3 linked regions of the Diceros bicornis minor genome follow. The protein of the gene in region 1 binds, or shares a complex with, the protein of each later gene. Links are inferred from orthologs where the notes say so. Each region holds a gene or a part of one and is shown in the gene's direction. Other genes may lie near its edges. The genes, in order: SART3, CCNT1 and USP4.

Region 1 (6,992 bases):
GTTCTGCTCACAGCTGCTGGGTCAGTCTGCCTCTTTAAGCACTGGGACGGTCTGCACTAAAGGTCTCTGGTTATTGCTTTTTTCTTGGCACCAAGTTACCTTTAGTGGTTCCCTCCTGCCTTGTTTCTGTTTTCCAAGATAAGCATGAAAACCTCTGGCAAGGTGCCCACCCACCATGATGAAGTAGATTGTGCATAAAGCTACGGTTTCCCCAAAGTGCCAATCACTACCTTCAGGTTGTTGCCAATTTGGGGGAGGTTTGATTTATTACATTTCTTGTCTCACTGAGGGTGGCTAGCTGAACGGTTGTGGTTTTCCTTCGATCAGTAAAATTCATAAAAACTTTACTTCGCTGAAGCTGGAATTTAAGCTGATCCAGTGACTAGAAAAGGGAGATCAGTTTACTATATCAGAAAGGGTCAGCACAGTCTACTAGCAGGGGGACTAGCATTCAGTCCTTGCTCTGACAATTTATAACACTGACTCACCCCATCTCACAGGAATCAAGATGGAGTCTGCACGAAATGCTGTGTGTGCGCATGCTTTGTAAACAGTGAAGCTCTGTGTAAGCAAAGGGGTCACTGTTATTCACATTCAAGATCAAAACCGGTCCTACCTGTAGTTTCATTACATCACCACACGCTGGAGCCCCCACCAATCCAGTTCCCACATTTTTAGATGTCTTGTCAAGGGACCCCACGTTTCTAGGATTTTCATAATGATCAACAACCTGAAACGAAAGGTTGAGAGCAATCATGACTCTTTTTTGGTACTGGTCTCCCCGACTTGACAGTAAGCTCCCGGAAGTCGGCAGGCTGAACCTGGCAGGCGATCACTAAATCCCAAATTTCACCCTGGTAGGAAGGCTTACACCTCTGTCAATGACAACCATTTGCGACCCAAAGTCTTTCTGTATCTCCTCTCCAACTACCTTCAGAGATTTGAGATACGAGAGAAAAACCAGCCAAATCATGTCTTAATTCCACAGGGTTTTTAACCACACATAATTACTTGACCTTTAACCACCTACGTCACCAGATTTGGGCTCAAACAGTATTTTTGTTATTTCCAAATAAAATCCATTTTTAAAGGTTAATGATTACTATTCAAAAATTCTAAAAATAAGTACGGGTCAGAAATGTAAGGCTTTCCCAGAGCCTCAAGGAGACTGTTACAGAAGGAACAATGCTATGGACCCTGTGCATTTGTGTACGATGATAACATCAGGCCTGTTTCTGTATTTCAGGGCCCTGAAAGCCCCCCGGTGCAGCAGCGCCCCCTGGTGGCTGGAAGGCTGCTAGCTCGAACTCATTCAGCGTGAAATGTCAACAAAACACACCCCCGGGAGGCGGAGGAGGGAAGTCCTTGGCATCGTGAAGCCAGAAGCGAATAAATCTCTCTTCACACTGGCACACACGCTTTAATAGCCTTGGGTCCGTTTACCAGTTAGCTCTAAGTATCCCGATCTTCCAGTCTCCTTTCCCCCACCTCTCCGACCACGGACTCGGACTCCAAGCCCAAGGACCTACAAGGTCATGTCCAATCTGGACTTTCTGCCCCATGTTGATGTACGGCATTCTTCGCTTAGTTTCCGGAGTCAAAGAATCTCACGTCTAGGGGACTTTACGCCCCCAGAAGGCAAGGGCTGTAAACGTTGCGCCTATTCCTCTCCCCCTCCCCCCACGAAAAAACCAAAACATACATAAAAACATTATGACTGCTGGTTACGTGTCCGACTCCGCTCAGAGGCTCCTTCCTACCACAGTAACAGCTGCGGCACCATAAACGGTCCCCGTGTGCTAGGCATCACGCCGAGGACTCCACGAGCATCACCTCGCGTAGATCTAGAAGTGCTAAGACCCCCATTTTACAAATGGGGAAAAGGGCTCGGCGAGGGGCAGTGACTTGCCCAAGGTCACTGGGCCCGGGCAGTGGCCTGGCTGGAGCCGGTGTGCGTGTCTGGCCCCGGATGCGGCTGGCAGGTCCCAACAGGCCCCCGACTGTTGGGAAGTTAAAGGCCGGGACGCGAGACCCCGCGGCGGGCGGCGGGCCCCGGGCGGCGGCGGCTCCACGAGCCGCAGCCGGTGCTTGCTTCAGGCGGGTTAGCGTTCCTGCGCAGCGAGGGGCAGGGTCGAGCGAGGGGGCGGCCCCTCCGTCCGGGGCCGGGCGCCGCCCCTTCCCCCGCCGTAGCAGGGGCTCCCCGGCCGCGCAGAGCCCCGCGGCCACTCCTCCCTGGGCTGGGCCTCCGCCGGCACGCCCGGGGCCCCTCGGCGGTCGTCGCACTCCCGCCCCCCCGGCCGGCGCGGGCCCTGCGCGCCCCCTCGCCCGCGCCCACCTTCTTGTGATAGAGCCGGGCCGGAGCTGACAGCTCCCGGGCGGGCAGGCGCGGGCTCCGCAGCAGCAAGGCCGACGCCGCCCGCCTCAGACGGCCCGCTCCAGCCGCCGCCATCTTGCGGGCTTGCGCCTGCGCAGGCCGAGCGCGAGACCGAGGGGTGGGGTGCGCCCGCAAGTCGGCTCCCAGCTCGGAGCGCGCTTCCTCCTACGTCACCGCGACGTCGCGCCTGCGCCCTCTCGCTCCGTGCACGTGTCCGCGCTTGGGCCCCGCCCCTCAGGGCGGGCGGGGCTCGGAGCTGGGAGCTGTGGGGTCGCAGGCGGGTTTGTTCTCGGCGCTGGGCTCTGTATCTGCTAGGATCTCAGCTTCCTGGAGTGCGGGACCTACGTTCGCGTTCACAAAGCCCACCGCCGGAATACGGCGCAGAGCATCACCTAGTCCACCTTTCTTCACTCTGTTTTGCAGCTTAGGAAGTTGAGGTTCAGAGCGACTTAGTAGCTTGTCTGAGGTTGCCCAGAGTTTGACTCAGTGGGGATTCAAACTCGAACAATCCTGTTAGAATCCCGGTTCTGCTTCTTCCTGGCTGTGTGACTGTAGGCAAATGACATCAGCTTTCTAAGCCTTGATCTTCTCTTTTGTACTAAGTCAAGGCCAATTTTTTCATCCATTGAGCAGATATGTGTTCAGTACCTATCATATGTCAAGGCGCTATACTAATAGGCTTTGGGGATCCAACGGAAAGACATAGTCCCTGCTCCATTAAGCTTGCTAACGAAGGAGGAAGGCAATAAATGAACACGCCAATACTTTCCTACCTCAAAAATGGGAAGCTTAATTAGGAAGGAAACGAACACCATGCCCTGATTAACAGAAAAATGCGTATATTTATGTCCGCGTCTATTTCAATATAAAGCAAACTGGCACAATTTATATGACAATACCTGGCAGTGAAGAGTTTCTGAATAAATGTTTAGTCATGTAATTTATTAATATTGGTTTGCAGAATACGGTCTTAGAAAACGAGAAATCTCGCACGTGTTATTTAACGCCTGCTAGGCACCAGGCATTACATAAAGGGGAGGAATCTCTTTGGGAAATGGATTTTTCTCGTGGATGGTGCAATCGATACTTCCCAGAGGACTCGGAGGTTTCTCTGCGTTTGACGCTCAGTTGCTGGGGAGACTGAACCACGCGCCAGGTTAGACGCAAGCAAGGCGTTTATCCCAAGAATCATATTGACCTTCTCAAGATGGCTCCAAACCCTTAACCACAGTCATCACGCTCCCTCCATGACGTCCTCTAATGGCCTCCACTTCCGGTCCAAAGACCCATCTTCTGTCCGAAGTTGTGGCCGTACATATGCCATATTATTAAGCTTCTTTCTCTGAAAAAAACTTTTACAAGTATATAAAAACAATGTGAGTGGCGTGTATTTAGAGATTTTTCCATCACCCGAAGCTCACAGTTTCCCTTTGAGTGGCAAGAGTGCGGGGTTTTGATCAGGCACGCGCCGCGGGCAGCTTCTACTTCTGCGGGTCTTCGGCGGCCGCGTGAGGACCCGAGAGTCACTGGAAGCGCAAGATGGCGACCGCGGCTGCAACATCGGCTTCGGAACCGGAGGCTGAGCCCAACGCTGGGCCCAAGGCCGAGGGAGAGGAGGAGGAGGTGAAGGCGGCTAGGACGCGGAGGAAGGTGTTATCGCGGGCTGTGGCCGCTGCGACGTGCAAGACCATGGGGCCAGGGTGGGACCAGCAGGAGGAGGGCATGAGCGAGAGCGATGGAGACGAGGAGTACGCCATGGCTTCCTCGGCGGAGAGCTCCCCCGGGGAGTACGAGTGGGAGTACGACGAAGAGGAGGAGAAGAACCAGCTGGAGATCGAGCGGCTGGAGGAGCAGGTGCGCCCGGGGGTGGGCGGCGGGCTCCTTCCCTCGCGTCCCCGGGCCCCGGCCCGCCTCCGTGGTCCTGAGCGGGAATAAAGACGCCGAGGCCGCAGAACCGCTATCGTCACCGCAGCTCCTGTCGTTGGAGCGCTTCCCGCTGGCCCCGTGCTTTGCAAGCGTTATCCCACTGAACCCTCGCAAGGACCCCGCGAAGGAAGGGGCGTATTCCCCGTTTTACGGGAGGAAACAGGCTCCTCGTGGAGAGAATTCTCAGGCTCAAGATCACACTTCCTGCAAGTGGCGAGTCAGGTCTTGAACTTTGAACCGACTCCAGCACTCCCACTCTTCACCACACCGTTAGGCTATGCCCAGCAGTAGAAATAAAATTCGCTTCGTAAGAGAGGGTTATTTTTCTGTAGGAATGATGATAATGCTGAAATGTGGCGTGGCAGAAAATGTTGACCGTGACGACGATCACAGAAATAGAAGGGTGGGGATTTCAGCGTCTGGAGGCGAAGGCCCCAGTTCTAGCTCTTCCACGCCTGTACGTGCTTGGGCACGTTGCTTAGCTTCTCTGAGCCTTGGCTTCCTCATCTGTAAATTGGGAGTAGCAATTCCTGCACCATGTAAACGACATAACGGTAATATAATTCAGTGGGGGGCACCTAGTAGTGACGTGACTTCTAATCTGTGACTTTATGAGATACAGGTGGTGGATCTCCTGTGTAATCCAGGATCCCAGCAGGAAATAGGTGGTGCATTCAAATTAGGATAATTTGAGAAAAGGTCAATAAAGGGACTACTGTGTTTGTAAAGGTGTGGGCAGGGACATCAGGAATGAAGGTTAGCACTTAAGAACTAATAACAGCAGGACCTTGTGTCCACTTTTAGGCCTGAAGGAGTGAGGGGAGTGCCTGGTTTTCTGAATAGCTGGGTGGGAGGGCACCTGAGAGGAGCTAAGACTTTTGGGCAAGGGATGCGGCCCCAGTTTCCTATCAGAGATTGAGGTGGGGGAAGAAATACCCTCACCTCCCTCTCTTCCTCTCCAGACATCTCCCGGTGCCTCCTACTGGGCAAACTCTGCTGGAAGCAGGAGAGCCAGGAAGCCCATTGATATGGTCCACACGGTGGCGGTGGGGGTGGCGGGGGCACAGGACAGCGTGGAGGGGGTGGAGTGGATTTGGAGGGGCAAACGGAAGAGATCTAGCACCTTCTCAGTTTACAGATGAGGAAACAGAGGCTCAGCACAAATGATGAAATGATTTGCTTAAGGTCACTCATAAGGGGATTTGAACTTTTCAGGGTTGTCTGTGGACCAGATGCCACTCTGGATGTGAAATCACTTAGTGATGTGAAGGTTCCTCACTTAAGCTTGCTGGGTGTGAGTTTGCTTATAATGTCCTCTCTGACTGTGATATATTTGTCAAGTTATGGAGTAGTGATATCATCCATTGGTATAGCTTGTCCCACTCGTCGTCATATCTGATTGTCACGGGAACCAGTTGGGGTAGGCAGGTGGTTACCACTTCTGCTTCTTTTAAAGAAGTTTGCTGATGATCGTTCAGTCTTTTGCTCGTTCAGCAAATACAGTGTGATATGGAGTGCCAGACTGGCGTGTCCCTGTCATTATGGTGCACGTCTGTTCTTCAGACTTGGAGTCTTGGGCCTTTCAGTGAGCCATTAGCTCACTTGGACCTTACTATTCTGTGAGGTAGAGGAAATAGGATAACCTGTTTTAGTGGGAAGGGGAGGCCTGGAAGCAGAGAAGTCCTTAATGAGGGTACCCAGCTTACTAGGAAGGAGGATGGATCAGAGCAGAGGTCTCCTGGTGCTCTGCAGTTGCCTGCCCTGCCTCAGGCCACTGAGGCTGGGCTGGAGCTCTGAAGGTGACCACACAGGAGGGGACCTGGCCAGTGATGGTGAATTGAAGAGCCTCTGGCCTTATTCTCTTTGTCCTGGGTCTAGAAATGGACTTTTCCAATTTTTCCAAACCTCCCTTGGATCTCACAGCTTCTACTTCCTGCTGTAGTTGCTTTTATGGCTGAGCATAATGATGAATAACTTACAGATAGGTCTGTGAGAAATTCGGCCTTGCTATATTTGAGAATTCCGGTTCTCATCCCTAGGTGTGTTTTATGAAAGCTTGAAAATAGTGTGGTGTCTGTCCGTGTAACAAAAGCAGCGATTTCCCGTTATTTGCGTTTGGTCCTGAAATGAAAAGCCCCCTCGGGCAGATTCGTTAGTGCACCACGGAGCAGTGCAGAGCATGGCTTTGCAGCCGGATGTGAGCTCAAGGCCTCTGCTCAGTAGTGGAAAGACTTCGTGCACAGTATTTCAGCTCTCTGGGTCTGCGGGGTCCCAGGTGGGAAAATGAGGGTTATAGTAGTCCCTCCCTTACAGGGCTGTTGTGCAGTTTAAGTGACACGATGCGCATTACGCTCCTGGCACAGTTTGGCACGTGGGTGCTATGCCAGGGCCTGTGTGACACAGACCTGCTCTGTGCTCTGTTCTCCTGTCCCCGCCTTTCCCTGATCGCAGCAGCTGGGTCCTTTCCATCAGGCCCATCTGTTACCTCTCCACGCTAATTCCAGGGAGTTAGGAAGTCAGCAGGTCACTTCGTGCATTGGCCAAGCCCCCTCTTGCTGTAAAGCATCCTTTGTCATTAATGATGTTCTGAGTCTGGAATAGACCAGCATATGCACTCGTTTGTCAGTGCCGAGTGAACTCTGGAGATGTCTCTTACTGCATTTCAGTGTGCATTTAATATACATACTTTCAG
Region 2 (7,286 bases), on another chromosome or scaffold:
AACCCACACATCTACGGACAGCTAATCTTCAACAAAGGAGCCAAGAACATACAATGGAGAAAAGAAAGTCTCTTCAACAAATGGTGTTGGGAAAACTGGACAGCCACGTGCAAAAAAATGAAAGTAGACCCTTACCTTACACCATACACAAAATTAACTCAAAATGGATTAAAGACTTGAATGTAAGACCTGAAACTATGAAACTTCTAGAAGAAAACATAGGCAGTACACTCTTCGACATCAGTCTTAGCAACATGTTTTCAAGCACCATGTCTGACTGGGCAAGAGAAACAATAGAATAAATAAACAAATGGGACTACATCAAACTAAAAAGCTTCTGCACAGCAAAGGAAACCATGAGCAAAACAAAAAGACAACCTAACAATTGGGAGAAGATATTTGCAAATCATACATCTGATAAGGCGTAAATCTCCAAAATATATAAAGAACTGATGCATCTCAACAACAACAAAAAAACAACCCAATTAAAAAATGGGCAAAAGACCTGAACAGACATTTCGCCAAAGAAGATATACAGATGGCCAACAGGCACATGAAAAGATGTTCGACATCATTAACTACCAGGGAAATGCAAATCGAAACTCCAATGAGATATCACCTCACTCCCGTCAGAATGGCTATAAGTAACAAGACAGGAAACAACAAGCGTTAGAGAGGATGTGGAGAGAAGGGAAGTCTCATACACCGCTGGTGGGAGTGCAAACTGGTGCAGCCACTATGGAAAACAGTATGGAGATTCCTCAAAAAATCAAGGATAGAACTACCATATGATCCAGCTATTCCACTGCTAGGTATTTATCCAAAGAACTTGAAAACACCAATGCGTAAAGATACACGCACCCCTGTGTTCACTGCAGCCTTATTCACAATAGCCAAGACTTGGAAGCAACCTAAGTGCCCATCAAGGGACGAATGGATAAGGAAGATGTGGTATATATACACAATGGAATACTACTCAGCCATAAGAAACGATGAAATCCAGCCATTTGTGACAACATGGATGGACATTGAGGCTATTATACAAAGTGAAATAAGTCAGAGGGAGAAGGTCAAATACAGTATGATCTCACTCATTAAGTAGTAGATAATAACAACAACAACAAACACACAGAGACAGAGATTGGATCGGTGGTTACCAGAGGGGAAGGGGGGAGGGAGGAGGGCAAAAGGGATAATTCGGCACATGTGTGTGGTGATGGGTTGTAATTAGTATTTGGGTGGTGAACATGACGTAATCTATGCAGAAATAGAAGTATAATGATGTACACCTGAAATTTATACAATGTTATAAACCAATGTTACTGCAATAAACAAAAATTTAGAAAAGAAATAAAGAAATTTACAATAAAGAAGATTTATATTTTATTTTATATAAATTGTGTGCTACACATCCTTTATATCAGTAAATTTTATAATAAACTTATGTACATTTACATACACATACAATTATTTTTGTGCATAGTTAATTGTTCATAATTTACCAATACACACACACTATGGCCAATTTCAAGCTATCAACGTGACGTCACTAAACGTGGAGTTGGGGATAGTTACGAATAGCATACCATCATTTCATATTTTAATTTGGAGACTATGAACATTGGGGTGAAACTGTTTTAACAGCAGTAAATGGTAATGTTTGACATGACTGAAATATGATATTCATGAGCACAATGCAAAACAAGATCAAACCATGAAATATGATATAATCCTGTACCCAGAACAAGATTAGTCTAGTGAATAGGAAGAGTAGCCTTATAAGTGTGATATACAGGAAACAGAGTCCTATTTAAAAAAAAAAAGCAAAATTCCTCTGGTTAAAGATTTTGTCAATTGTTCCTTAAGGGTAATGTATCTGAAGGTTAACATTAATTTGACAATAAACATGTACTGAACATCTATTATGTGCCAGATGGTGTTCTGTCAGGACGTAGAGATGACACTTAAGATCACACAGTTAAAAGAATAGCTGAGAATTTTGAGGACATTATACTAAGTGAAATACACCAGTCACAGAAAGACAAATACTGCATGATTCCACTTATATGAGGTATCTAAAGTAGTCAAACTCACAGAAACAGAAAGTAGAATGGGGGTGGTCAGGGCTGGGGAGGCGGGGAAAGGGGGAGTCGTTCAATGGGTATAGAGTCTAAGTTTTGCAAAATAAAGTTGTAGAGACCTGTTGCATAATAATGTGAATATAGTTGACACTACTGAACTGTACACTTAAAAATGGTTTAAGATGGTAAAAAAAAAAGAATAGTTAGAATTTGAATCCAGGCCTGACTCAAAAACTCACGTTGAGCAATTATGTATCACTGCTGCCTACTTTCAAATAATTTCATCTTCAGTCAAAGAATATTTTCTTTCTCTGATTTACACAGGTCCCCCTCTTCTGTACGGCAGGGTAGCAAGCCATTGGTTAGCAGCTGCATTGCCTGAAGCCTGACAGACAGCAGAACTTTTTCTTGGAAGCCTGGCATACTCAGCCAGGAGAGCAAATTCCAAATGGAGTCAACAATTAAAGAAATTAAGTGGAGAACTAAACACAAGTCAGAGAATAGGCAAGCGGGATCTGGGAGAGAGAATCTTGGCTGTTTAAAAGACAACATACATGACTACATAGCTGAAAAAGTGCTTATTCTATTAAAAGAAAAATTTTATTATTTTATTATCTGTGATGAAAGAAGTTTAAAATTTTGTGTTTTTTTTATGTTATAACTTGATGTAAGTAATTTAAATTTTCCTGAACCTCAATTTTTCTGGGCTAAAATGGAGCTAATGTTAACTGTAGGCAGTATATGACAGAGGAGGGCCTGAAATGGAAGGAAATACTTCTGAGAATAAATTAAAATCAAATTTACTGAGTGGGAGCAGCCACGTCTAGAAACGACAAAACTCAAAATATTATAAAAGCAAAAGATTCTAATATTACCCAGATGTAATCAAAGCAAATTGAGTGTTCCAGAAAAGCAAGAATATAGGTCGCTAGAATGGAAAGAACAATGGAATTAGACTTGATTTTAAAATCTACACTTACAAGTGGGGTAGTGTAGGGTAAACTACTTAATCTCTCCGAGCCTCAGTTTCTTTACTGCAGGGTGTCATGAGCATTTATTTGACATTTATTGACTATTAGGGCCAGGACTGTACTAGGTAGGTGCTGGAGATACAAAAATGAAAGTGGCATTGTCCTTGCCCTCAATTTCAGTATAATGTAATAAATATCATGATAATATCTACTGAATATTTTCTATGTGCCAGGTACTATTATAAATGCTTTTAATTCATTAAATCTTTATCTACTCATTCACAACCTAAAACGCAGGTACTATTATTATCATTTACATTTATACGAGAGGCAGAGAGGTTAAGTATCTTGCCCAAGATCAAATGTTGGAGCTTGGATACATCTTGACAGAGGACAGAAACTTACAAATTTGTGCCTGTGCAGGGTGGCGGTGGAAGCTTTCCACATTGAAGGAGAACTTGCCACACTGAACGGAGAACTGAAGTTCACCGTTCGCAAAACGGGGATTAAACTGTTACTACCAAGTTGTGCCGATTAAATGAAGTAGTGTATTTAAGAGTGTATTTGTGCCTGGGACACAAAATTACTACTATTAATTTCATTTTATTCCTTTAAGTTGGATCACTGTGGCGAAGCGCAGGAACGTTTTCAAGGCTTTGGCTACATAGTATAAAGCAGCTTTTCAAATGGGTAACTCACATTGTACCAACAATGTAAGAGCTTCTAGTTGCTTTATGTTACGATATACGATAGGGCCACTCTCTTTGATTACTTTTTTCAGTTTTTGACAATCTCACCTATTTTCTCTGTCAAGTTTTCCGTCTGCCCCATTTTACATCCCCACCTCCACCACAAACGAACTTCTCCGAAGAGCCGCCGAGCGGCGCCTGGGCGGCCGCCTCACCCCTCCACAAACGACGCCTCGCGCCCTCGCCATGGGCGCGAAGACTGAACCCAGTTCTCGCGGGAGGTGACGTGGTTTTGAACGAAAGCGTCTAATCCCACCCTACCTCCCAAGGGTCACATGACTGGCGCCTGCGTCCTAGACCCAAGGCCTTTCCTGGTCGCCTATTGGCTGTTAACTCGGCTACAGGTTGCCGCGAGGTCCATTCCGGAAGTAGACCCTTTAACTAGCCCTCTTCGGCGGAAGCGTGTCACAACCTAGCCGTCCACCCTTAACGGAAGTTCGTCACGTTGCAGTTGCTGCCGCACAGCGGATGTGGGTCGCCGCTTAGGTGACGCTGGGAAGTGCTTGCAGCCTCCGCCGCTGCCTTCTGATTAAAGCACTATGGAGGGAGAGAGGAAGAACAACAACAAACGGTGGTATTTTACGCGAGAACAGCTGGAAAATAGCCCATCTCGTCGTTTTGGTCTGGACCCAGATAAAGAACTTTCTTATCGCCAGCAGGCGGCCAATCTGCTCCAGGACATGGGGCAGCGTCTTAACGTGTATCCTTGCGGCCTAGGCCTTCGGCCTTGGAGTCAGTCCCGCTTTGCTCGGGCGTCCAGGCCTCAGGCTCTGTCAGGGACGGAAGCGGGAAGAGGGTGGGCAGGGGCTGGATGTCTGGGTGGGAGAGCTGACGGTGGGGCGGGCTAAAGTTCAATGTTCGCGCGGGGAAAGCGAGGCGGAATTAATTTCCCGCTCGCTCACCCGTGCCACCAACCTTGCTGGGAATTCGTATCCTTCCCGGCTTTGTGTTTTAACCAGCCCTTCCTAGTCGCTTTTCGGTGTGTTCTGATTTCCTGCTCTGATGACTTTGGGATTCTGCTTTTCCGCTATGCCCTAGGGGTCTGGTGGAGGTTTCACGGTTGATGGCTGCCTCTTGAACTTAGTGTGTAAATCGAGTTTTGAGAAATTCAATATCTGAAGGTCTTTGCAAAGGGTGGCCTGAAATTAATGCCCCAGCTTTGGTTCAAAATCCGTTCCTCCCATTTACTAGCTGTTTAAGAAAGCTGTCGAATTCTTGGTTTTCTTGTCTGTAAAATGGGGTGATACCACTTGCGTTTGATTTTGTGCCCAACACAGTGCTTGGCATTCAGATATTCAAATAATAGTTAGTGTTAGAGCTTATAGAATTTCAGAGCAAGGAAGGATGTCAGTTTAGATTTGTAGGGACATAGACCTACGGATCTAATGTTTTAAAAACCGTTTACAAAATAATGGGCTTTTAAGTTATTCAGAGGGCTGGTGTGTATTCTTTTTCCTCATATTTCAAAGATGAGGTAATTTAGTGATTTTTTTTCCGTGTATTTTTATGTGTCAGAAAATATGCTCATTTTGTAGCAGAGAAAGCTAATGTAGCTTCAAAGTACTTTTCACTCTGGAAGTGAAAAATTATTCTTGGGTGCAACTTCTCTTTAAATGTGTTGCTGGCTGTAGTATTTGTGTCTTAAGGTGTGCTCGCCTCAAAAGAGGTGTCCTCTTTATTGCTGATACCCAGTTTGTTTCCTAAGCATTTTTATTGCTGATATCCAGTTTGTTTCCTAAGTCAGTACTGAGTTAAACCTTGTTTTTTTTAAATTCTGTTTCAGTGCGTCCTAGCATCCTAGTCCTTTCCTTTTTATATATGTTGTTATAAAGATTGTTGCCATCATGGGACTGCCTCATCTCTGTATACCCCACAGGGTCTTTTGAGGTCTTCAGAAGTAAGGCGTTTAAAAGTTTTTCTTTCCAAGGAATGAATATCAAATCATTCCACAGTGTTTCTGGTCCCAGGGATCACCGAATGAGAAGGCTTGGTTGCCAGAGAGAAGTGAAACAAGTGGAACTGAAAAGTTAATTGCTGCAGTTTAGAAGGTGAGGAGATAGTGGAGACATACCTAGGGGCTGGTTGAGGGAGGTCATTGGAAATCATGTGAAGAGAGATCCTGAGCTAATGGGTCACCACTGCAGGGTTTTCAGTAGGCAAGTGACAGGTTTAGGTCTTACATAGTTTTGTTTTTGTTACTTCTTGATCCACACGTTCTGAGAAGCTTGCTTGTTTATTAATTCAGCAAATTTATGTTGAATACTTGTTATGTGTAAGGCATTGTGCTGTCAATTGGTGGTTAATAATTCAGTGAAAGAAAACAGACTTGCTCTTTAATTTGGAGAAGTAAGTATGATTTTCATTTAGGAGCATCTACTGTGCTTGGCTGCATGGTCCTTTTGGGAGGATATAGAGGTTGTATTTTTTGGGAATTGTACTGCCTGCTGTTTTGGGCCCTTAACTTGAATATTTTAGTTCACAATTGACTATCAACACTGCTATCGTATACATGCATCGATTCTACATGATTCAGTCCTTTACACAGTTCCATCGAAATGTAAGTATAATTTTTTTATATAGTATAATCTTGTGATTTTTGTATTTCTTGTGTGGTTAATCTTTACCGCTAAACTGAACTTTTCAGTTGGGATTTGAAGTTTAGAATTTAGAGTTGATCACTTGCATGGTGTGTCACACTGCTATTCTGAATCCAGCCTTCCTATTTTCCTGTGAAGAGTCTAGCTAGTTGTTTGATAGATTTAGTGCATCCTTAGATGAGGTAAATTCTCTAATAAAGAAATAGATTATTGAACACTAAACTTAACATTTTTGGGTTGGGAGACTAGCATTAAAGGGGAAACTATGCTTAATTTAAGTGTGATTTTTGAATCACACTAAATAATAGTATGCTAAATAATAGTATGGTCACAGGAAAACAAGTGAATGTAAGTTATTTAGATTTTCTAAAAGCCTTTGATAAAATTCCATTTGATGACTGGTTGCAGGGGGAAGGTACATTATGTGATGATTAGGGGTTGACTTTTAAGACAGGAAAAAGAAAATAATAGTAATAAAGGGATTTTTTTTTCCTGGACAGAATTGTAAATAGTGCTATTTTCAGTTTTGCTACCTGAAATGGTCCTATTTAACATTATTGTAAATGACTTGGAAGCGAGTGCATAGTGATATCCCAGTTGCAGGTAAGACTATATTTGTTTAATAAAGTCACAAGTTAATAGGGCTAAACTTGATGAACACATCATGTGGATTTGTGAGTCAAATATTTCCCTTTTTTTTTTTTGAGGAAAAGTATTTCAGACTTATCCTTAGGATGATGGGTTTTGAGCTCTTTTTTTATGCCATAGGAGGATAATCTGTGAAACTAGATATTGCTCTTGTAATGTAAGATATTGGCGGACTCGGTATTGAGAGTAATTGTGCGGGAAATATTTTGAATTTGTGGATTAAGTATTCCCTATTTTTGC
Region 3 (7,292 bases), on another chromosome or scaffold:
TGCAGACAGAAACTCCACCCAGGTCTAGTGTAAGCTGTGGCCAGCAAGGCCAGGGCAAGAGACCACAAAACAGGCCCAATTTATCCAAATGCCTAGAGTCTGAGCAGTATCCAGGGGCATGTGCAGACCACTGTGGGTGGTGTCCTACAGTCTTGCAGACCACCTGGCTCCACAGGGAGGCAAGTGGAGGGGATCGGAGTCTCCCTGCAAAGGAAACACCTGTTAACCCAGCCTCCTCTGTCTCTAGCATGTGACTATGTCTGTGTATGTGTAGGTGAATCTAAAGAAGCCCTGGTTCCCTGAGCATTCCTTTGCAGACTCATCATGCATTCCCAGAGGCAAGCCAAAGGGAATGTTAAGCAAAGCATGCCTTTGCTCCCTACACCAGTTGCTTAAGTTTCCTTCCCAGCAAAGGTCTGCAGCATCACCTTCCATGTTCCTATAGCACTTTTATCACACAACATAGAACACTGTAATTACATGTGAAAACATCTTCCCCAACCACATTGGCTGTGAACCCCTGGAGGGTAGGGACTATGAGCATATAACAGGTTATTAGTCAAATGAAAAAATGACTAGTATCTGGATAGTTCTTTCATTCATTCATCCAAGAAATGCTTACTGAGAATCTGCTGTGTGCAAAGGGCGAACATGCATAATTAACATCTAAATACTTGTTTATGGTTAAGACATTGATGGTAACAGAATTAGAGGAGGAAGAGAAGACACTAGCCACACCTGGGCCCAGGGTGCCATGCTCTCCCTGCCCAGTCAGGGCTGGCCACCAACAGTGGCATAACCAGAATGGAATCTGTCCAACGGTATGAGTTTCCAACATAGGAAAGTTGATTCCACTTCCACTCTGTGAGATTGGTTCAGGTTTTTGCCTTTGTCACCTTCCTCAGTAACCTAATCCTTATATAACAGAGGTTATAATGTCACGGATGAGACGTTTAATTCTTTCAAAATGTACTTCTAGAGCTTTTTACTTTTTCACAGTCTCCTGGGCAGGTTAACGAAGCACAGGCAAGAACAAAACAAAAATATTTCTCTCCTGATGCCACCTTTAATCAAAAGGTGCCCAATATTTGTGACTCCTGTCACATGTGCTCTGTTTCTGCTGGCCAAATGTGGACCAAGGGTGACTTGGGAGGGCCAACTCCAGTCAGGTGTAGAGCAAGCCATAGTACCAGTCAAGGCAAGAATTTTATAACTTGGAACAAAGTAAAGCTTGAAGTTCACAGATCCAGACATTACAAACCCTCAATTAGATCATCACAGTCCAAGATCAAGCAGTATGTGATCAATCAGCCAGGCCTGTTCCCTCTATATCCCTTCCTGCGTTCTTTCCTGTTCTTGTGGCCCAAAATCCCATGGCAACGGGTGGGTTGTTCAGTTCTGGGGTTTGGTGATGGGGCAAAGTGAGTGCTCTACTAGGCCTGCACCTCTTCCTAGGGTAAATGGCCAGAGATCACAGCCCTGGGGCCAGGGTGTCTCCAGAGCTGAATCATTGAATTCATTTCCTGCCAAATCCGCAGGTCACTCCCATAATAGTGGGAACACAGAAAGATGTTCGTTGTTTCTAGTTCTCAATTTTTAACTCACTAAATGAATGAAACTCACTAAAAAAGTTTTAAAACTGGAAATAATGCTGATCTTCCGACTATAAAGTTTCACTTTATTCCTTGCGTTTTAACTAGTGGCACTTTGTAATCTTAATACAAATTTTTAGGAGCTACTCATAATTGGTGCACTATTTTTATAGCTATTTAACAGCACTGAAGAGATCCAGGCTTAAAAAGATTTTCCAAAGTTTTCTTTTTTTTTCATTTTTATAATTAGGTTTTGTCCCTCTTTCTAGTGGTGCTGAGTACTTGTCGTACTTCTACTTCCTTAAGACTCTGACCCATGCCATAAATGGTAGGGAGAAACTGCTAAAAAAAAAAAAAAAAGAAAAGGGAAGCAGATACCCTCTAATGTAGGTTCTGAAGTAATGTCGGTAACCCAACTTTCTTTTTCCATAAATAACAGGACTAACGGTAGTGTTTCTCATTTGACAACATTTTTAACAATTTCAAAGAGCTTTCACAGAAGGGCACTTGTCAGGGTTGGCTCCCCAGATGTAGAATTATCACATGATTATAACTTATCTGCAGGGGATTAATTGCTACATGGTCATTCAAGGCAGTTTCAACTCCAAACTCATTATCCCTTGCTACCTACCCAACTGCCAACAGGTGTCTGTTACCAGATGGTGTGTGATGGATGTCCCAGGGTGTGCAAATTAATCGAAATTAGCCAAAACCCAACATAAAAATTGTAAATCTATTCAAATGACCTACCACACCTTCACCAGGCCAGCTCTCCGTCCTCCATCCCTAACACTGAACACGGTCTCCTGTTTCTTCTCTCCTCCCTCATAGCTACCTCTCCAGTGAAATGCTACTAATAGGTCTCTGGGCTATACCACTGTGGGTGTAAAGCACCCTCAGCCATTTTGTCTCTGCTCCAAAATTTCCTACAATATCTGTGGGCCATTTAAGGCAAGACATGTGGCCCCTCCAGCCTCCTTTCTATCTTTAGATCTCAGGCTTTTTCAGTAGTCTGATCCCAGCTCAACTGGCCTAATGCTCACTCTTTGATTCTGCCCCGCCTGTTTCAGAAATTGTCTCCGACCCCTCTAGTCTCTCCTCCTGTAACATGCACCATCATTTCTACACTTTCTTCAAGACCACACTCAAATGCTACTCAAGTCAAAGGCTCCCTTTCACAGCTCTGGACCTAGTCTTTGGTTCATATCCTTTTTTTGTGTGTGTGAGGAAGATCAGACCTATGCTAACATCTGCCAATCATCTTCTTTTTTTGCTGAGGAAGACTGGCCCTGGGCTAACATCCCTGCTCATCTTCCTCCACTTTATAGGGGACGACCCCTCTAGTCTCTCCTCCTGTAACATGCACCATCATTTCTACACTTTCTTCAAGACCACACTCAAATGCTACTCAAGTCAAAGGCTCCATTTCACAGCTCTGGACCTAGTCTTTGGTTCATATCCTTTTTTTGTGTGTGTGAGGAAGATCAGACCTATGCTAACATCTGCCAATCATCTTCTTTTTTTGCTGAGGAAGACTGGCCCTGGGCTAACATCCCTGCTCATCTTCCTCCACTTTATAGGGGATGCCACCACCGCCACAGCATGGCTTGCCAAGCGGTGCGTCGGTGCGGGCTAACATCCCTGCTCATCTTCCTCCACTTTATAGGGGACGCCACCACCGCCACAGCATGGCTTGCCAAGCGGTGCGTCGGTGCGCGCCCGGGATCCGAACCGGGAAACCGCGGGCCACCGCAGCAGAGAGCCAGCACTTAACCGCTTGCGCCACCGGGCCGGCCCCTCAAGGGTTCATATCCCTTAACGGCACTTACCACACACTGCTTGGCACTGGGGTTATTTGCGGAAGATTTCTTCTCCTCTATTAGACTGTATAAGTGCAGGTATTAGGTCTTATTTTTCTCTGAGGGCCGGAACTGCTAGGCAAGTGAACGGAGACTGGCGTAGACCAGCTGCTTGGCATCCTCCTTGCTCTGGGCTTACTTACCCGTCCAGGAGGAGGGCTGTGTTTTTTATATGCAGGGTCAAGTAGAAAACATACAGTGTTCAGGACATTGTACCTTGTTGCGGCAACAAATTAAGAAGCAGCCTGGGCACCTAATGTGGAGAACACACCTGGACCTCTCCTTCCCCCGTTGCTATGGACCCTCTGCGGCTGCCTGTCTCCCTGACAAGGCAAGTAGCTAGCTCACTGTGGACGGCTTGTGGAATTCTGCCGTGGGCAAGGTGATTCTGGCGTCCAGAGTGTTTGGAACGATTGTTAACGACTAGACCACACCGTCGAGTCCCGGTCCCAAGGCGCTGGTGCACCAGGCACTCCCCGAAATCCCTGTAGGGCCTCCAGGACAGGAACCTCGATCCTACTTTTGTGCAGTTAAGGACTCGCCTAAGGTCTCTGCTGAAAGCGGAATGGCAGGAATGACTACAAGAAAATATAGTTCCAGGGCTTTTCACACCGGTTGCTGCGCTTATTTAAGAACAGAATAACCCCGCAGGCCAGGACTGGATACCCGAGGGTCGAGGGGCACCACACTCCCGCCCCAAGGTGAGGCCTGCAGAACGGAAGGAAGCGGCGGCTTCTTCCCCGGCGCCCGCCTCCTCTTCCGGTTCCCTCCCTGCTCCACCACGTACCGGCAGAATAGGCGCGGCGCGCAAACGGCGGCAAGAAAAGGCAAAGCCAAGCAAGCGCTCAAGGCCGCGGAGCGGGGTGCCCTTTGGCGCGCGCACGCGCTTGCGTGCGTGCGTAGGTGGGAGCGGCCCACAGCACGCCGTGCGCTAGGCGGATGTCCGGGCCGGCTGGGCCGGGGCAGCGGACGAGATGGCGGAAGGCGGAGGCTGCGGTGAGCGACCGGATGCGGAGACCCAGAAATCCGAGCTCGGGGCCTTGATGAGGACCACTCTCCAACGAGGGGCGCAGTGGTGAGTGCCAGGCCCCCCTTTCGCCCGGCCAGGGCCAGGGACCGGGGCTCTGGCGCTCAGGCTAAGCCCCTCTTTCTCGGCTTGGGTAGGGGCCGGCTGGAGGCGATGTTAGTGACCCTGAGAGAGTGACGTGACCCCCGCCTCTCAGGAGAAGGACCCCGGGGTCACCTCTGGGAAAGCGTGGGCGGAGCTGAGGGTCGTCCCGGCCCATACCGAGCCCCAGGGCGCGGACCCAGCGGGGGCAAGGGCTGCAGGTTGAACAGAAGGGGAGTGCTCACGGGGACTTGCAGGATAGGAAGAGCCTTTTACCTACCAGGACTTGCCGCGTGACCTTGGGCAAAGGCATCAACACCTCATAGATCCCCGTTCCTTACTGTTAAAACCAGGGTAGCAATATTTGGCCCTCCGCCCTCAGTGGGTTGAGGCGAAGATCAGAAGTACATACTTTGTAACTTATAAACTGCCGAATAGATGTCAAGGTCAGAAGCTGAACAAATGTCTGAGAGCCCCAGGTTATTTGGTAGCAAATGTCAAAAATAATTGTGGCAGCAGCATTTCGAAGTGGGAAAGTAAGGTAGCCTACAGCCTAGATAAAAAAGATTAAAAATTTAGGGTTTAGAAGAGCAAGTCGGAGACCAGGTTTCTTAATAAATTGTTTAGTAGAAAGGACAGTATTTCCAGTAGTGAAGAGATTCCTGGTATTATTGTGTGGGAGTAGAAAACTGGGGGTTGGCTTTGCATTGAATGTGATTGAGCATCCCTCTTTAAGAAACTGTGGTGGTGTTGGTCATGGCTCTTATAATGACAGAGGAATTGAGCAGTGAAGAGAGACATTGGGGTTAAGAGTTGAGATACATTGAGCAGGGAAGAGAAACATTGAGATCAGGAGAAATTCGAATAGAGCTTTACAGTGTTCTTGAGCTAGCCGAACCGTGAAAGGCAGGGCAATCAGAGGTGCTTTTAGAAGTTATCCTGCATAGGAGTGATGTATGAAGGATACTCAGCAGAAGCAGAGGAAGTTTGGAATAGACTAAAATCACACACCAAAAGTGTTTGGAGTGTATTGTTCAAGGGGTTTGGAGGGAAAAGAGCATTCTAAAGATTTGGATGTGTTTATGAATCCTTGTGGCCTTTGGGAAGCTGCCTGATATCCTCTGAAGTTTGTTGGTTATAAAATTTGAAAGACTCACCAATATAGTTGTTGTCCTTTGTTCCCCCACAGAGTTTTCCCTTCTTCTTTTAAAGATTTATTTATTTATTTATTTATTTATTCCCCCCAAAGCCCCAGTAGATAGTTGTATGTCATAGCTGCACATCCTTCTAGTTGCTGTATGTGGGACGAGGCCTCAGCATGGCCGGAGAAGTGGTGCGTCGGTGCTCGCCCGGGATCCGAACCCGGGCCGTGAGCAGCGGAGCGCGTGCACTTAACCGCTAAACCACGGGGCCAGCCAAGGTTTCCCTTCTTCTATCTTAATTGTAAAACAGCATAGTGATACTTTTAAAATATAACCAGATCAACTTGATGCTTTTTGACAAGATAGACATACCTAGACAATATTGTGTATATATATGTGTGTGTGTGTGTGTATATGCACGTATATGTGTGTGTATGTATATATGTACATATATTTACATACATATACTCACACACATTTTTTATCTTGTTTGGTCCTCAAAGGAAAACTGAAGTGTGGGATGTTGTTATCCCATTTTCAGAAATAAAATTAGTTTAATGCTGTTCACATCAGGCAGAGCAGTGTAATCAAACTGTCTACCTGGACAAGGACCTCTGTAAAGATCATTAGGAAATTAACGACTTGACAATGTTATAAACCAATGTTACTGCCATAAAAAAAACAAAATTAAAAAAAATGAAATTAATGACTTGGTCATTAGCAAACAAGATTTTACCTATAGAAAGACTTCCTTTAAATAAGCATTTTGAAGCCAGTCATTGCCTTCCTTTCATTTATTCATTCTTTCAACAATCGTTTCATTTAATGGATGCCTGCCCTGGATCATGGCTCTCTGTGCCATGTGGTTCCTGGCCCTGCTCCTGCTTTGCCGAGTGTGTCTTTCAGTAGGTATTGCTTGTTCCCCAAGTGAAAAGACCATAAAAATATTAAGGGAGCAGCTGCAGAAACTTACAACCTCAGCTTTTCTGGAATAGTAAATTTTTGTCTGTCTCTAGGTATCTTGTTGACAGCCGGTGGTTCAAGCAGTGGAAGAAGTACGTGGGCTTTGACAGCTGGGATATGTACAATGTGGGTGAACACAACTTGTTTCCTGGCCCAATAGATAACTCCGGACTCTTTTCAGGTGTGGTATCCTATTGCTTTTCTAACTGAAATGTCCACCTGGGCAATGACCTGTGGTTGTGTTTATCTGTAACATGGACATTGTGAACCTGACTTTCCAACTGTGAGGGGATAGAAACAAGTGTCCTCGATTTGTGTCTATAGCAGAAGTCTTTGCAGACCCTCAGGGAGAAGTTAATTTTTTCCTAAATTAAAGGCTTCTAACAAGAGCATGCTTCTAGCATTTTAAATCTCTCTCTCTCTCTCTTTTTTTTGCAAATTAATTCTGCTAGAGATTTCAGATTTTAGATTAGTCTGTGGAATGAAAAGAAATAGGATATCATTTTGAAATTGCATCTGGAATCTGAAAGTTGGGAACCAGAATTTTCTGTGTTACCTTTGCAGTGTAACAAATTGTAGACCTGTCGACATTCATCAAGCGTTCCTGTGATGGCTATGTTTGTTATAG

What was found.
Region 2: SART3 (region 1) and CCNT1 share a complex: the UniProt entries of both Homo sapiens proteins name them as parts of the 7SK snRNP complex. The link is inferred for Diceros bicornis minor from reciprocal best matches to the Homo sapiens genes SART3 and CCNT1.
Region 3: the proteins of SART3 (region 1) and USP4 are in contact, whole or in part, in a crystal structure (PDB 5CTR), measured with the Homo sapiens proteins. The link is inferred for Diceros bicornis minor from reciprocal best matches to the Homo sapiens genes SART3 and USP4. Residues at the interface, in NP_055521.1 of Homo sapiens: Asp437, Ser438, Ser439, Lys440, Gln490, Arg493, Glu494, Trp496, Asp497, Met500, Thr501, Ala505, Trp511, Tyr514, Lys529, Arg533, Cys537; in NP_003354.2 of Homo sapiens: Met24, Thr27, Leu28, Ser53, Trp54, Glu123, Gly125, Leu126, Phe127, Val128, Lys129, His130, Cys131, Lys132.

What each region holds. Positions count from the first base shown.
Region 1 is NC_080774.1:18,772,510-18,779,501, forward strand, and holds the start of SART3 (squamous cell carcinoma antigen recognized by T-cells 3), read left to right. Parts: upstream 1-3,888; 5' UTR 3,889-3,913; coding exon 3,914-4,228; intron 4,229-6,992. Other genes in the region: iron-sulfur cluster assembly enzyme ISCU, read right to left, coding at 617-730, 2,336-2,449. UniProt on the Homo sapiens protein: U6 snRNP-binding protein that functions as a recycling factor of the splicing machinery. Promotes the initial reassembly of U4 and U6 snRNPs following their ejection from the spliceosome during its maturation.
Region 2 is NC_080756.1:20,861,761-20,869,046, forward strand, and holds the start of CCNT1 (cyclin-T1), read left to right. Parts: upstream 1-4,253; 5' UTR 4,254-4,340; coding exon 4,341-4,501; intron 4,502-6,276; coding exon 6,277-6,358; intron 6,359-7,286. UniProt on the Homo sapiens protein: Regulatory subunit of the cyclin-dependent kinase pair (CDK9/cyclin-T1) complex, also called positive transcription elongation factor B (P-TEFb), which facilitates the transition from abortive to productive elongation by phosphorylating the CTD (C-terminal domain) of the large subunit of RNA polymerase II (RNA Pol II).
Region 3 is NC_080741.1:50,519,514-50,526,805, reverse strand, and holds the start of USP4 (ubiquitin carboxyl-terminal hydrolase 4), read left to right. Parts: upstream 1-4,263; 5' UTR 4,264-4,425; coding exon 4,426-4,526; intron 4,527-6,717; coding exon 6,718-6,845; intron 6,846-7,292.